Linked DNA regions of Daphnia pulex. The protein of the gene in region 1 purifies or fractionates together with the protein of each later gene. This does not show direct contact. Links are inferred from orthologs where the notes say so. Each region holds a gene or a part of one and is shown on either strand. Other genes may lie near its edges.

Region 1 (4,269 bases):
ATTTGTTTTATTACGTCTAGTTCGGGATAAAGGCGACCGATGGCCTCGAAGAGCGGAAGCAAAACGAATCCGATGAAGGAGCATTGGGACGACGGTTTGGTGATCTTGTCCCGGTCCATGAAAGGCGTGACGGGTAAGCCTTCCATTTTCTCGCGGTCGCTCTGCTCGAAGAATTCCTGCAGGAGGCAATCCAGCCACGGCTCGGCCACATCCATCGGCCTGGCTTCGTTCGAAATGTCCGACACTTTGATCAGCACCATGCACAGCTGCCCGTCATATTTGTCGCGTTCCGACATTTTTAAAAAAAAGAGCGGGAAAAAAAAGAGCGATGAGCGACATATCGATCTTTTCTTTGGCGACAAAATAGACAAGTCTGCATTTTTTAAGTTCATTTTCTACGACTTCCGGATGGAGAAAGTCGGATCATGGCGCACTCGTCTGTATTCTCCTACACGTTAGAGAATACGATTAAGGGAAGGGAAAGAAAATCAATAGCCGACGAAATTGTTCCCTGGAAAGGTGAGATGACAGTCAACCTCCCCGATTTTCTGCCGTTATACGTAAGTACACACAACACTGGAAAATGGCATTCAGAACCTTTAATTAATCTGCTTTTCTCTCTGTCGATTCAAGTCGACGATCATTACGCAATTCAAAACACAAAAGACCCCGGAATAAAACATGGCGTTAGACGGGGGTGAAAGCTGAGCATATGGGTCTTTTTTTGTTTGACTGCGCGTCTTTTGCAGGAGATTTGTTTGGCAAAGCTGCCGACGAGTCTTCTTGTGCTGCTCGTGATTCGTTTGATGTCTGATACAATCGGCAAAAGCCGTTTCATCATCCACTTGTCGAACGCGTGAAACAATTTCCGCTCGAGTTCCTACTGGCAAACTTATCACAGCTGGGAGCGGGAGCTAGCTCCTTTTGTTGAACCTGCTCTGGCACACATTAAAAACGAAATAAAAGGAGACGCGGAGGAGAGACTGGAAATCATTATAGAGTCGATCTATACAGACTCGAGTGTACATATAGACACTGCACGAGAGTCTATATAATATGTCTCATGCAAATGACGGAATTGTTTTGCTCTGGAAACTTTTCTTTTTGACACTGTCATTCATTTGAAATCGAAACGAATCATTCCAGCAGGAGTTGATCCCCTCCCTCCAAAATCGCATTAAACTTGCAGACGAAATTGATTTCGTTTACCAACTTGCCACTTTCCACCGTAGTTTACAGCTCGTGATTTTCCACTCGCACAAAGAGAAATGTCACACGATGGCACTCGAAACTTTTTTTTTTCTTATTTATTTAGGTATGGAAATGGTACCGAGAAACACCTTTTTTCGCTTCGATTTCATTTGAGTTGTGCCATTTCACGAAAATAGGCAACGTCGTCTGCACTTTGTTTTCTTCTTTTGTCGTTCAAGTTTTTGGGTAAATTCGTCTGCTCAAATTGACGACGTCGAGTTGGGTAATGGCGTTTATTCATTCTCTCTGCTGCTGCTGTTACAATTTCCGGAATTCTCTCCCGTCGACCAGCTGCGTGTGTCTACATTAATCAGCGTGCCGAGCTTTGACGTCAGACTTGATCAGACTGTTACACTTGTTACTCTCTACCTGAGCTCCAAAAGTGCGTCTACACCGACGAGTTTGATTGGTGCCCATGGAAACTGACAGCCACAAAGTGTTTGCAGGTGACGTTTAGTGCCCAGATCGCACTGGCCGGCCTTCATTTCCGGGACTCATCACGACGGGAAACTTTTGTCACCGATAAAAGGTAAGTGGCCCCACCTACACATGTGTCACACACTTACCAGATTGATGTGGGCTCGATTGTCGTAATCAAAGATGGGGGCGATTTGATTGAACTGGTTGAGGATCTCGTTGTGACGGGCCATGTCGGTCGCCAGAATGCAGCGGATGATTCCCTCGCGGACGCTTTTGTAGACGTCGGCCGTGAAGGATCGGAAAATGTTGGCCGTCGAATCTTCCAAAATGTTGAACGCCACCGAGCAGTGGTGATTTTCCAGCGGCGAAATGTCATTGTAGCGCAGGGCCAGCTCCGTCCTGGCGTTGATCTGTTGTCAGATTGGACTTGATTAGACCTTTTTAGTACATGTAGAAAAGTTTCTTAAATGTCTATACAGTAGACAGGCCGTTGTTTATTGACGGGGAGGAGGAGGAAGCCCGTAGGCGATGCACAAACTCTGTGTAGAATCGATTAGATGAGGAGGAGGTGTATATCAAAGCGAAATGTACACACACACACAAGTAAAGTCGAGGCTGCTAGCTGCTCAGTAATTAATGAAGGCTCTCGCTCTACCCCCCATCATTCTCTCGCCCGCTCTCCGTGTGACTGCGTGTCATTACGAATGTAATATATTCCCGGGAAAAGCACTTTTTTTCTTTCCATGGCCGCCACTCTGCCAAAACCGTCGCTGCTGCTGTTTAACTGCTAATGTGACGCCCCACTCTATCGGAAATATCAGCTCTAAATGAAATATGAAAAACGAGCGTCACAGCACGGGTTACCTGATAAATGTTGTTGAATCCCGGATGATCGAGGTCGTGGCATATGCAGGAAGTCAAGAGGATCAGCGTTTCCAGGTCGCCGATTTTGTCTGGTAAATCCAGGCACCAAATGATGCCGTACATCTGCAAGCGCACATAGAAAAGGAAGGAGTATATGCATGTCATTAAAGTTTCACTCGATCGCCCGTCATATGCTGATGAAGGACACACACACACACACATTTCAAATGGGCTTTTTCTTCATCACTTTGACATGCAAAGCGTCGGTACACAGGGGCGTCGAATTTCTTTGAATATATTTTTAGACGCGCAAATTTCGCCTCGGGGCATCCCCGCCATTTTTCTTGTTTTTTAATTAAAATTTGACGGGAAACGCTCACTCTCGATGATTAGACGTAGTGTACCAACTGCAAATCGATTTTGGGTTATTATTTCGAGAGTCTGAGTAAGTAAGTAGCTCTTCGCTCCTTTTACATAGTGCAGCAGGCGGGCAGGGGGCGCCTTGTTTGAACAATAACAACGGCGGCGCACTCTTGAACTATCGCTTGTGTAACGTATTCCCGACAAAGGAGAAAGTTTCATATAGAATCTGCGGGAGTATATTATACATGTATTTTGTGTGTGTGTGGGTGGGTGTACACACGCTACGTTGGGCGATTTCCCTCCTACTCTCGCTTGAGAAATTTCCAACGAGTTATTTCTTGTTTCTTTTTTTCCATTCCCGTATCTTTCACGGTGTGTTGCCAATTGTTGCGTGTATGTGTGTTTAGTTTTTGATCGCTAGAGACGATCGATGTAAAAAGATCACGCAGGTTCGACCCGACATGAGAGTTCGAAACAAACGATACGATCGTCTGTTCGACTATTAGACAAGCGGTTTTGTGTGTGTGTGTGTGTGTGTGTGTGTGTTAGCATTGCGGTTGACACGGCCATCATCTTTTTTCTTCTTTCTGTCGATCAATAGAGTAACCAAGGCCCCCCGGCGTTGTCTTGGCTGGGAGACCAGCAGCCCCCACACATTTTTGTCTGTTATGTTTGTTTTCGCCCGCTTACCATTTGACTGACGGTGAAGCAGTGCTGGAAATTGTGGAACGGCACCTCGTTGTAGTTCATGTAAACTTGACAGAGGAATTTGCGCAGGACGTCGAGGTCGATGTCGAATTTGCTCAGCAAATCCAAATCGACGTACATTTGCTGCAGGAGCAGCAGGATCTCCTCGTCCTCCCATTGCCAATTATCGAATGTTGGCATCCGCAGGCAGCGCCGGATCTCTTCCGTCAATGTCATTGTGCTTTTTTCAGAGAAAAGAAATTAAGAATTCGATTGGGCGGGAGTTTTGAATGTATTTGATGATTATTACCTGATGTAAAGATATTTCTCGCAGACGAGTCGTTTCTCCGACTCGGATTTCCGACGGGCTTTGTGTCTGTTCCAATAAGGACGGCCCATTCCAGCGTGCCGGAATGTGGTTCCAGCTCTGCACAACCCTGTTGAGTAATCAAACGATTTGCGGGATATTCCCGTTCAAGTTGATGATACCACCACAAAGAGAGCTCGATTGCAAACGGGGAAAAACCCGGTCGATCTATTTTCGTCTGCCGTGATTCCCTTTTTTTTAATTTTTATTTTTGGAAGAGAAGGGGAAAAATATTGGAGAGAATCGTGACGATCGGTAGCGGGCAAACTCATTGACTACGAGGCCATTACGCGGCCAGATGCGGGTGGTGGTGGTTG
Region 2 (4,036 bases), on another chromosome or scaffold:
GGTACCGCCTTCGAGAGAACAAAGTCATCTATTCGGTTGGCCAACCTACAATTAATCCGTGGCTACACAATTCATGGTCCATCCAAGACAGTACCAGTAACAGGTAAATATTTATTGTACAGTCCTATTCTTTTTCAACAACAATGTTTCTAAGTGTTCTCATTTTAAATCAGTTATCTGACCGAAATTTCGCAAGCTGCGGAACCACCTCACGTTCCTGCCATACCCCAAACATCTCAGAAAGCAGAGCGGGATTCCGCATTCTACCTAGCGTGCACTACCGAACAAGTTACCGCACTTCAACCGATTTCCGTTCTTGACGTTTTTCAAACTTTACAAGTAAGTCGATATTTAATTTCAAAACTTCAAACTAATCCTCATGTTTCTTTATTGAATAAACAATAGGTTAAAAAGGGCGTCATTCCCTGGCACACAGTGCACGCCGTCAATATGGAACGCATTTCACAGCGCCTCTATCACCCCAATTAAACTCGAATCTACTTGCTTAAAGAAATTATAACGATTAAAAAAAAAGATGTTTGTATTGTCGACGAGGAGGCCATGAGAAGTCAAGAATGCCAGGAAACTTTTTTATACCAAGAAATTGCATTTTTTTTTCCTCAAAATTCTCCTATAAAGTACACACCTCAAAACTGCTTTTCATCGTCTTTTTTCCCATTATTTTTTGTTGTTGGTTCATTGCGACAAAGCTAAATGCGCGGTCTACGTGTCGGAACGCCAGAGCTTGATAGTCTTATCGTTCTCCAATGCAGCAGATGCGATGATATTATCGGTCGGATGGCATGCAGTACACAGCACGACATCTAGAATGAAACATGAAGGGATATAAGTTCGCGTGTGACGTCTAGACAAATTAAATGTGAAAGAAGGAGCAGGTCCCCCGGTAGGAAGCCTTACCGGTGTGTCCTTGAAGTTTCTGAACAATTTCCTTCGTTTGCAAGTTCCAAATATAAACCATGTTGTCTTCAGAGCCGGAAACGATCCACTGCAGAAAGAAAAACATGTTCAAGTAAAAGAATGAAACGTGGATTGTTAAAGCAGTACTTTTCCTCCAGTAACCGAAAAATTGGCAAAGATGCAATATTTCTCGTTTTTGTGGCCGGTGTAGGTTTTCAAGCATTTGCCCTGAAACGAGCCAAAGAAAAAAGAATGGTAAAATCTGCAAAAATCTTTAGAGTTGAATTCATGATGACACCTTGGAATAGTCCCACAACTTCAGTGTGTTGTCGAGAGTTGCAGCCAGGATGTATTTTCCGTTGGGTGAAAATTTGACAAACGAGACGGGAGGATTGTCATCATCGATCAGCGTTTTTAGGCACTGGCCGGAAGCCGTGTCCCAGATGCGGCTGTAAACAAGTGATCAACACCACCAATCGATAAAATTAAGAGGTCGAATTTATTTAGTAAAATGAACACGATTATACCAAAGGCCATCGTAGCTTGACGAAACGATAAGAGATCCGTCCCGGTTAAAATGAACCGCTGATACGGGATCTGAATGGGCAGGAAGGGTTTTCAAACATTTTCCGGTTTTGACGTCCCAGATGCGCACACTCTCGTCAAACTGCAAACAATTCAAAAAGGTCAATAGCCTATTTTAAAGAAGGCGAGTGGTTGAAAACTTACTGAGCCTGAGACAATCAAGTTGGATTGGGGATTGAAATTGCAACAGAAAACATAATTGCTGTGTCCTTTTAATGTCTTCAAACATTTCCCCTATAAGAACATACATGAATTAGAGATGAGCTAACATCACAAATAAATGGTTAAAGACTTACTGAGCTCAGTTCCCAGATCTTGAGGGTTTTATCATCACTGGCAGACACAAGCAGGCGGCTATCAGAAGACCAAGCTACATCTGAGATACCAAGTTTATGACCTGTGATTGATTTCTCAAATTTGCCATCATAGGCACCCCAAATCTTCACCAGTTTATCAGCAGCTATTCATGATAAAAAAATTATAACATTATTAGAAATATAATTCTCCTGAACATACACCATCAAAATATTTACATGAACTTGCAAGCCATTCTCCATTTGGGCTGAATTTCACAGCTGACACAGCTTTTGTGTGGCCAGCTAGGGTAAACTTGAGGGCATAGTTTGGCTTCTAAATACAATATTGAATTAAGATTACTTTTTATCCTAAAATGCTGTAAGAATTGAAAATTCCGGGTTGGAAGGGTTACTCACCAACCCCGATGCTGGCTTTGCTTGAAGAGGAGAAGTAGTTGAATTATTACTGTGGTTCTTAAAATCCTGATCACCTTTCATTTTATCATCAGCCATTTTGATTAAATAAGAAGTTGCCAACAGTATACTTGAATCTCAAGCACAATAGCGAATTTACAATGTTTTCCTGGACAGTGATGAGTGGACTCAACAGTCAGCTGCTACACTGGCACAGGATTGTTAATCAGTGTTTGGCAACTATCCAAACTGTATTAATATTTTTTGTTTTTTTTGCAAATTTTTCTTATGATTCGTAGACGGCCTCAACACCTTTCTTTTATTTAGTGTAAGGTACGCACGAGATTTGCCCAGCTGTGTGCCTTAATAATATTTTGCATTACAGGCACTGAACTGCGGTAATAAAGAACATGGTCGTTCTCTTCTTCTTCACCAACTGTCACAAGCAACACTGAAACACTCAACACAAATAGTGTAATAAGTGAATCCAATTAAAGTCGCCGTCAAAACGTGAGAATCCAACAAAACGCAACACTTAACATTCGTGACAACGCTTTCGGCAGCACGGGTTTACTACTCGTGTTGAGCCAAACGTCCACCAGATGGCGTCGACTTGATCAGCGACATCTATGATTAACTAACCAAGTTTAGACTGGATTCGCGCCAAGAGTTTGAAATTTAAAATCGAGTTTCCTCGTTCAGGTTTTATCTCATGCGCAAGCTTAGTGGAAATGGGGTGAACATGTTCATTTCAACCATAAGTAGTTCACTACTAATCTAGACGTATTTGTCGTTTATAACACAAGAGTAGTCATGTGATTTAATAGTAAACGGTAAAATGCTTTTAATCTAATGATCTAATTATTTGTTTTCAAAATATCAGCACTATGTCGTAGAGATTTAGATTCACAGATAAACGAGTAACGATGATCGGTACAACTCAAGTCATTCCATTCATGAATAAGGAGGGTTTCATTAAACGTTAAAACCCAAATTAGACATTCTTCTTGTGTACTTCCATGTACACGTGATGGTTCTCCCTCTTGCCAATTCATTTCTCTCGTGAGAATATCGCCTGTACCAGCCCACATCCAAGTTGATCGATTGCCGTAAAGACGATTACCGGATGTCAAGTATAATTGTTTTTGAACTAAATTTTGAAAATTAGATTTCATTCAATTATACTTTGTAAAGAACATTTCCGTGATCACCATTTTTTTTCTCTGCTTTGAGTTGTTTGGCTAAATTGTTTTCTTCTTCTTTCGTCTCAAGCGACAGCAATTCCATGCCGTACTGCCGGCAATAATGGAGAGCACTCCACCAGTTTCTCTGTGAAATAATTAGTGATGTAACCCAACAAGTGATTGAATTTCATTTAAATGAGACTGCTCTATATGTGTTTTATAATACATCTTCAGAGACGATGCAGTAGCATTCGCCGTTTACTTTCAAACAACGAAATTTTTTGGCCGTGAAATGTTTTGGGCAAGTTCCTTGTTACGCGAATTAAAAGATCAATTAAAGAAAGGTGAGTGTGAATAACTAAAAAGAAGTTAACCATTCATACCATGAATCAGGATATCGTTAATGTGATCCTCCTTTGAAATCTAATATTAACACAAAAAGAAAATTAATTTAAAAAACGACTAATTACAGATTAAATGATTTACCGTTTCAATCAGTGCAAAATATTCATCCTCGAGACTTTCAATTTCTTGTAAAAAGCTCGTGGATTCAGCACTAACAGGTGTAATTGGTACTATCACGCACAAACTGGCCATCAAGAAAACGATGAACGAGAAACTCAAAAAGTAGAAACAGTC
Region 3 (3,460 bases), on another chromosome or scaffold:
GTTATGGGTAACATTTCCCCGATTTAGTTCGAGCAGATGTAATGTGAACTAAAACACTTTACTTTTAAAAATTAATTAACTGTCCATTTTGTGGTTGTGAGACTACTACATAATTCATAAAATCTGTGTTCTAATTCTTTTTCTTATTCATAGGGCGACAAAACTCAGATTACTCGCTATTGGGTTGGTAAATATCTTCTTGCTGGATGGCTGGTTTTGGGAATTACCTACAATCTGAAGTACAACTCTCATGTAAGTATTTGCCTCTAATAGTGGACAGCACCCAAAATACTACATTTTAACTTTTAGGACTGGACTCGCAAGAAAGGATTTGCAATTTTCGGCTCCAGACCCGCAGTTTACCCAGGAGATCCGAACTTCCCTAAAGTTTCCGATAAAATGAAGCCTTCTGACTACGCCGACTACGGATTCAAAAACTCCCCCATTTAGATTCTATTTCATGTTTCATACGTGGTTGGAAGAAGTAGTGAAAAACACAAATCCTGCTGTACAGAAGAGAGAATAGAAAAAAGGGTCAAATGTATTTGAAATCATTTCTTTTTCTCTTTGATAGCTATGACATATCGTTGCGCCACCATCAAAGGCGGACTGAATCCTTCAGTATAGCTAGAATCTTCAAAAAGAACTTGGTATTCATCTTGAGCTGTTTGGGGTAATTGATTGATTACCGCTTTGTAAAAACAGGTCGTTTGTGGATACAAAGCCATGACTAAAAACAAATGTTTAGTATGTTAATAATATGCTAACGTCGGATCAGCTAAAATTTGCGATTTTTTTGTTTTGTTTTTACCAGTGGCTCCTTTTGAGAACAAAGCATCGGGATCGGTTTCAGGATTAGCTCGCATCAAAGGAAGAGGAATTACTCTGCGTTTGCTTAAAGTGTGTCGCTCTTTCTGTTCCTCGTCAATATCATCCACTTCATAGCGCCCAGAAGAAGCTAAATATTGAACGACTTCTGCCAAAATCCAATTCTCATCGCCGTCTGTACTCTTTACCAAAGCCGCAACAATATCTCCCAGCTGACATACATATAAGGTGTTTCGGTTAGTCAATTAACAGTTTATGACATTCGAATAATGTAATACTTTGGCAACGTAAGTTGGGTCAGCTGGAACTGCTCCACATAATGCTGGTGGCTGTTGTCCTGACTTACTGATCCACAGCGGGAGAGTTTGAGCAGTAACGAGAAGCATTTTCATGAGAGCACCTCTTCTTATAGTTTCCTTACTGCCAGCTTGTTTTGCCTGAACAAGAATGTTAGTACAATGTTAGGTGAAATTTTCTAAGTTTACGTTCTTGGGAATAACCTGAATTCTCCTTTCATGTCTGATAACGCGAATTTCATAGATTTTGCTTAATGCCTTACGAATAAGGTCCTCTTCTTTTTCAGCATCAGCCACCACAGAGCAATACAGTCCTTTTAATTTAGACTGATAATTTTATAGGCATTCATTAGTGCTGATTAATTAGTGATATGGGAATAGAAATACCTTGTGATATGGAGAAATTTTGTCATCTGACTGAAGTTTTTCATGAGCTTTGATAACAGCATTTAAGTTACCTTCATTACGAACTTTCTCTTCTTGAATCTGCTTGACCAACTTGTAGATCCCCTTCAATCGTTCCTGCACCCCAATCCAAATTAGAACTAAGTAAATACCTTAACAACTGATTATATCAACCTTACTTGGACTTGCTGTGTGGCAGAATCTAATGACAAAGCCATGATGTATATGTTTAATAACAACTACCTCTCCTAAATGATGAGCTCAAACCAGCAATGATGACTGGAATCCAAGCAAAAGCCACCAAGAAAACCAAGAACTAAAGAAAATTAAATTCTGAAATTTACATATCTTTTATGCACAGAAAAATAACCTTACTAAATTAATGAAGATGAGTTTAAAAACAGTCATCGGAAATCAGCCTTCCAAACAATAAATTGAAAATCGTAACATCGGCAGTTGCTTTGTCGTCACCATGGCAACTATGGCATCAACTGTATTAGTTCCATTCGTCATTAGCAGATGGCATGAGCATGCTCAAATTGTATAACCATGGCAATAATTTCTAAATCAGGCCTTTTTTTCGAGTGGTTTTATTATATAGCCTTTGATCATTTTCAACTCTCAAATTATTTAGTTATTTTGTAGTCAGTTATTTTAATATTTTGCACATCCCTGTAAAAATGTATCGGCATTGTGTGGTAACTTTTTGGTGATGACTGACGATAACTATTCCACCAAGAAAGCTCACCTGTTAATTTTTCGATAATTTTTTTTATCTACTAAATGTATTTCACGGAGATGACGAATATTTCGTTTATTTTCCGTCCCATTCTAGTCGTCCGTGGATGCTCAGGGCTGTCACTAGGTGGCTAAATATTTCAGCGTGTTTAGGGATTGAACTATTCAGCTCTAGTGTGTTTGTTTCTAGAGGGGTGTAGGGGGATGGGTCATCAAACTGTCAAAGTCCTGAGACGACTGACAGAACAGTCTTTCTTTTGCTGTCGAGACGCTGTCCGAGAAGGTAAAATTTAGTCATTGCTGGTACTTTCTTACGTGACATTGTTGATCATAGACATGGTAATTCCATTTTTTATTCTTTAATTTTATAAAATTTAATTTTGTGTGTGGTTCAAAACGTGTAACATTGTCTTCAATTCATAATTGGTAATCGCATGTGGCCTGCTGTACATTCCCACAATGTCGTCTCTTGCTGAATGTTGCACGTTTCGTTCCATGCAGAACAGTAAAAAGTAATTATTGCTTAACTTTTTAATTCAAGACTTTGTTTCTGAATTAAAATTGTGTGACTTTGTTTCAAAAAGTAATTTAAATTTTTCTATTAACTGTTGAGCAGTAAAGCCTGAGCTTCATTACGTTTTGTTTTGCAAATTGTTTCAATTTCCAGTTGAATTATGCCAAGAGCTTTCACAGACATGCACTTAACTTGTTAGAACACTCGAGTGGGTTAGAATTTGCCTATATTTTAGTCTACTTTAAAAGTGTGTGCTACACATGTGATTTTTGTCAGGAATCAGGTCAGACATTGAATTCTCGATTTAGATGACATTTTACAACAACTATATGTTTCTAATTAAGAGCTTTTGTGAAAAGATTTGCTCAATAGAATTGTATTTTTTAAATATAAAACAGAAATTAACCCTTTCTTGTATTTGAAAATGTAATTGGTTCATTGTTTTCCTTTGAACTTGATTTACAGGATTTCTTGGTTAGTTTGATGTTGGAGCTGCCAATGGTGTTGATGCAGCGTTCATGGTGTGAGCAGTGGTTTTGCAGTCATTTTCCAGTCGAGATGTCTTGAGGGCGCGTTTTCGCAATGGAGCTTGTCAAAATGGAATTTTCGCAAATGGAGCTTGTGCAGACATTCACTTCAACATCATATTTCAATGTGATATTTACGTAATGTTGATGTT

The links. The genes of interacting proteins can lie anywhere in the genome.
Region 2: the proteins of transcriptional adapter 2-alpha-like (region 1) and WD repeat-containing protein 5 purify together in Drosophila melanogaster (affinity purification with mass spectrometry, with the first as the bait; 3 studies listed by BioGRID). This does not show direct contact. The link is inferred for Daphnia pulex from reciprocal best matches to the Drosophila melanogaster genes Ada2a and wds.
Region 3: the proteins of transcriptional adapter 2-alpha-like (region 1) and SAGA-associated factor 29-like purify together in Drosophila melanogaster (affinity purification with mass spectrometry, with the first as the bait; 3 studies listed by BioGRID). This does not show direct contact. The link is inferred for Daphnia pulex from reciprocal best matches to the Drosophila melanogaster genes Ada2a and Sgf29.

What each region holds. Positions count from the first base shown.
Region 1 is NC_060028.1:9,055,630-9,059,898, reverse strand, and holds the start of transcriptional adapter 2-alpha-like, read left to right. Parts: upstream 1-1,429; 5' UTR 1,430-1,780; intron 1,781-1,817; coding exon of another isoform or gene 1,818-2,081; intron 2,082-2,535; coding exon of another isoform or gene 2,536-2,658; intron 2,659-3,588; coding exon of another isoform or gene 3,589-3,826; intron 3,827-3,895; coding exon of another isoform or gene 3,896-4,022; intron 4,023-4,269. Other genes in the region: uncharacterized protein LOC124209580, read right to left, coding at 15-266, 1,818-2,081, 2,536-2,658, 3,589-3,826, 3,896-4,022. UniProt on the Drosophila melanogaster protein: Component of the histone acetyltransferase (HAT) complex ATAC; predominantly involved in acetylation of histone H4, including at Lys-6 (H4K5ac) and Lys-13 (H4K12ac).
Region 2 is NC_060023.1:11,642,751-11,646,786, forward strand, and holds WD repeat-containing protein 5, read right to left. Parts: upstream 2,793-4,036; 5' UTR 2,313-2,792; coding exon 2,217-2,312; intron 2,134-2,216; coding exon 2,037-2,133; intron 1,964-2,036; coding exon 1,800-1,963; intron 1,738-1,799; coding exon 1,648-1,737; intron 1,586-1,647; coding exon 1,446-1,585; intron 1,368-1,445; coding exon 1,217-1,367; intron 1,147-1,216; coding exon 1,066-1,146; intron 1,007-1,065; coding exon 919-1,006; intron 825-918; coding exon 724-824; 3' UTR 524-723; downstream 1-523. Other genes in the region: transcriptional adapter 1-like, read left to right, coding at 1-103, 174-339, 406-489.
Region 3 is NC_060019.1:9,072,387-9,075,846, reverse strand, and holds SAGA-associated factor 29-like, read right to left. Parts: upstream 2,025-3,460; 5' UTR 1,905-2,024; intron 1,846-1,904; 5' UTR 1,748-1,845; coding exon 1,709-1,747; intron 1,647-1,708; coding exon 1,512-1,646; intron 1,452-1,511; coding exon 1,329-1,451; intron 1,266-1,328; coding exon 1,107-1,265; intron 1,041-1,106; coding exon 812-1,040; intron 731-811; coding exon 552-730; 3' UTR 524-551; downstream 1-523. Other genes in the region: uncharacterized protein LOC124191408, read left to right, coding at 154-252, 310-450. UniProt on the Drosophila melanogaster protein: Component of both the SAGA and CHAT histone acetyltransferase complexes, which both predominantly acetylate histone H3.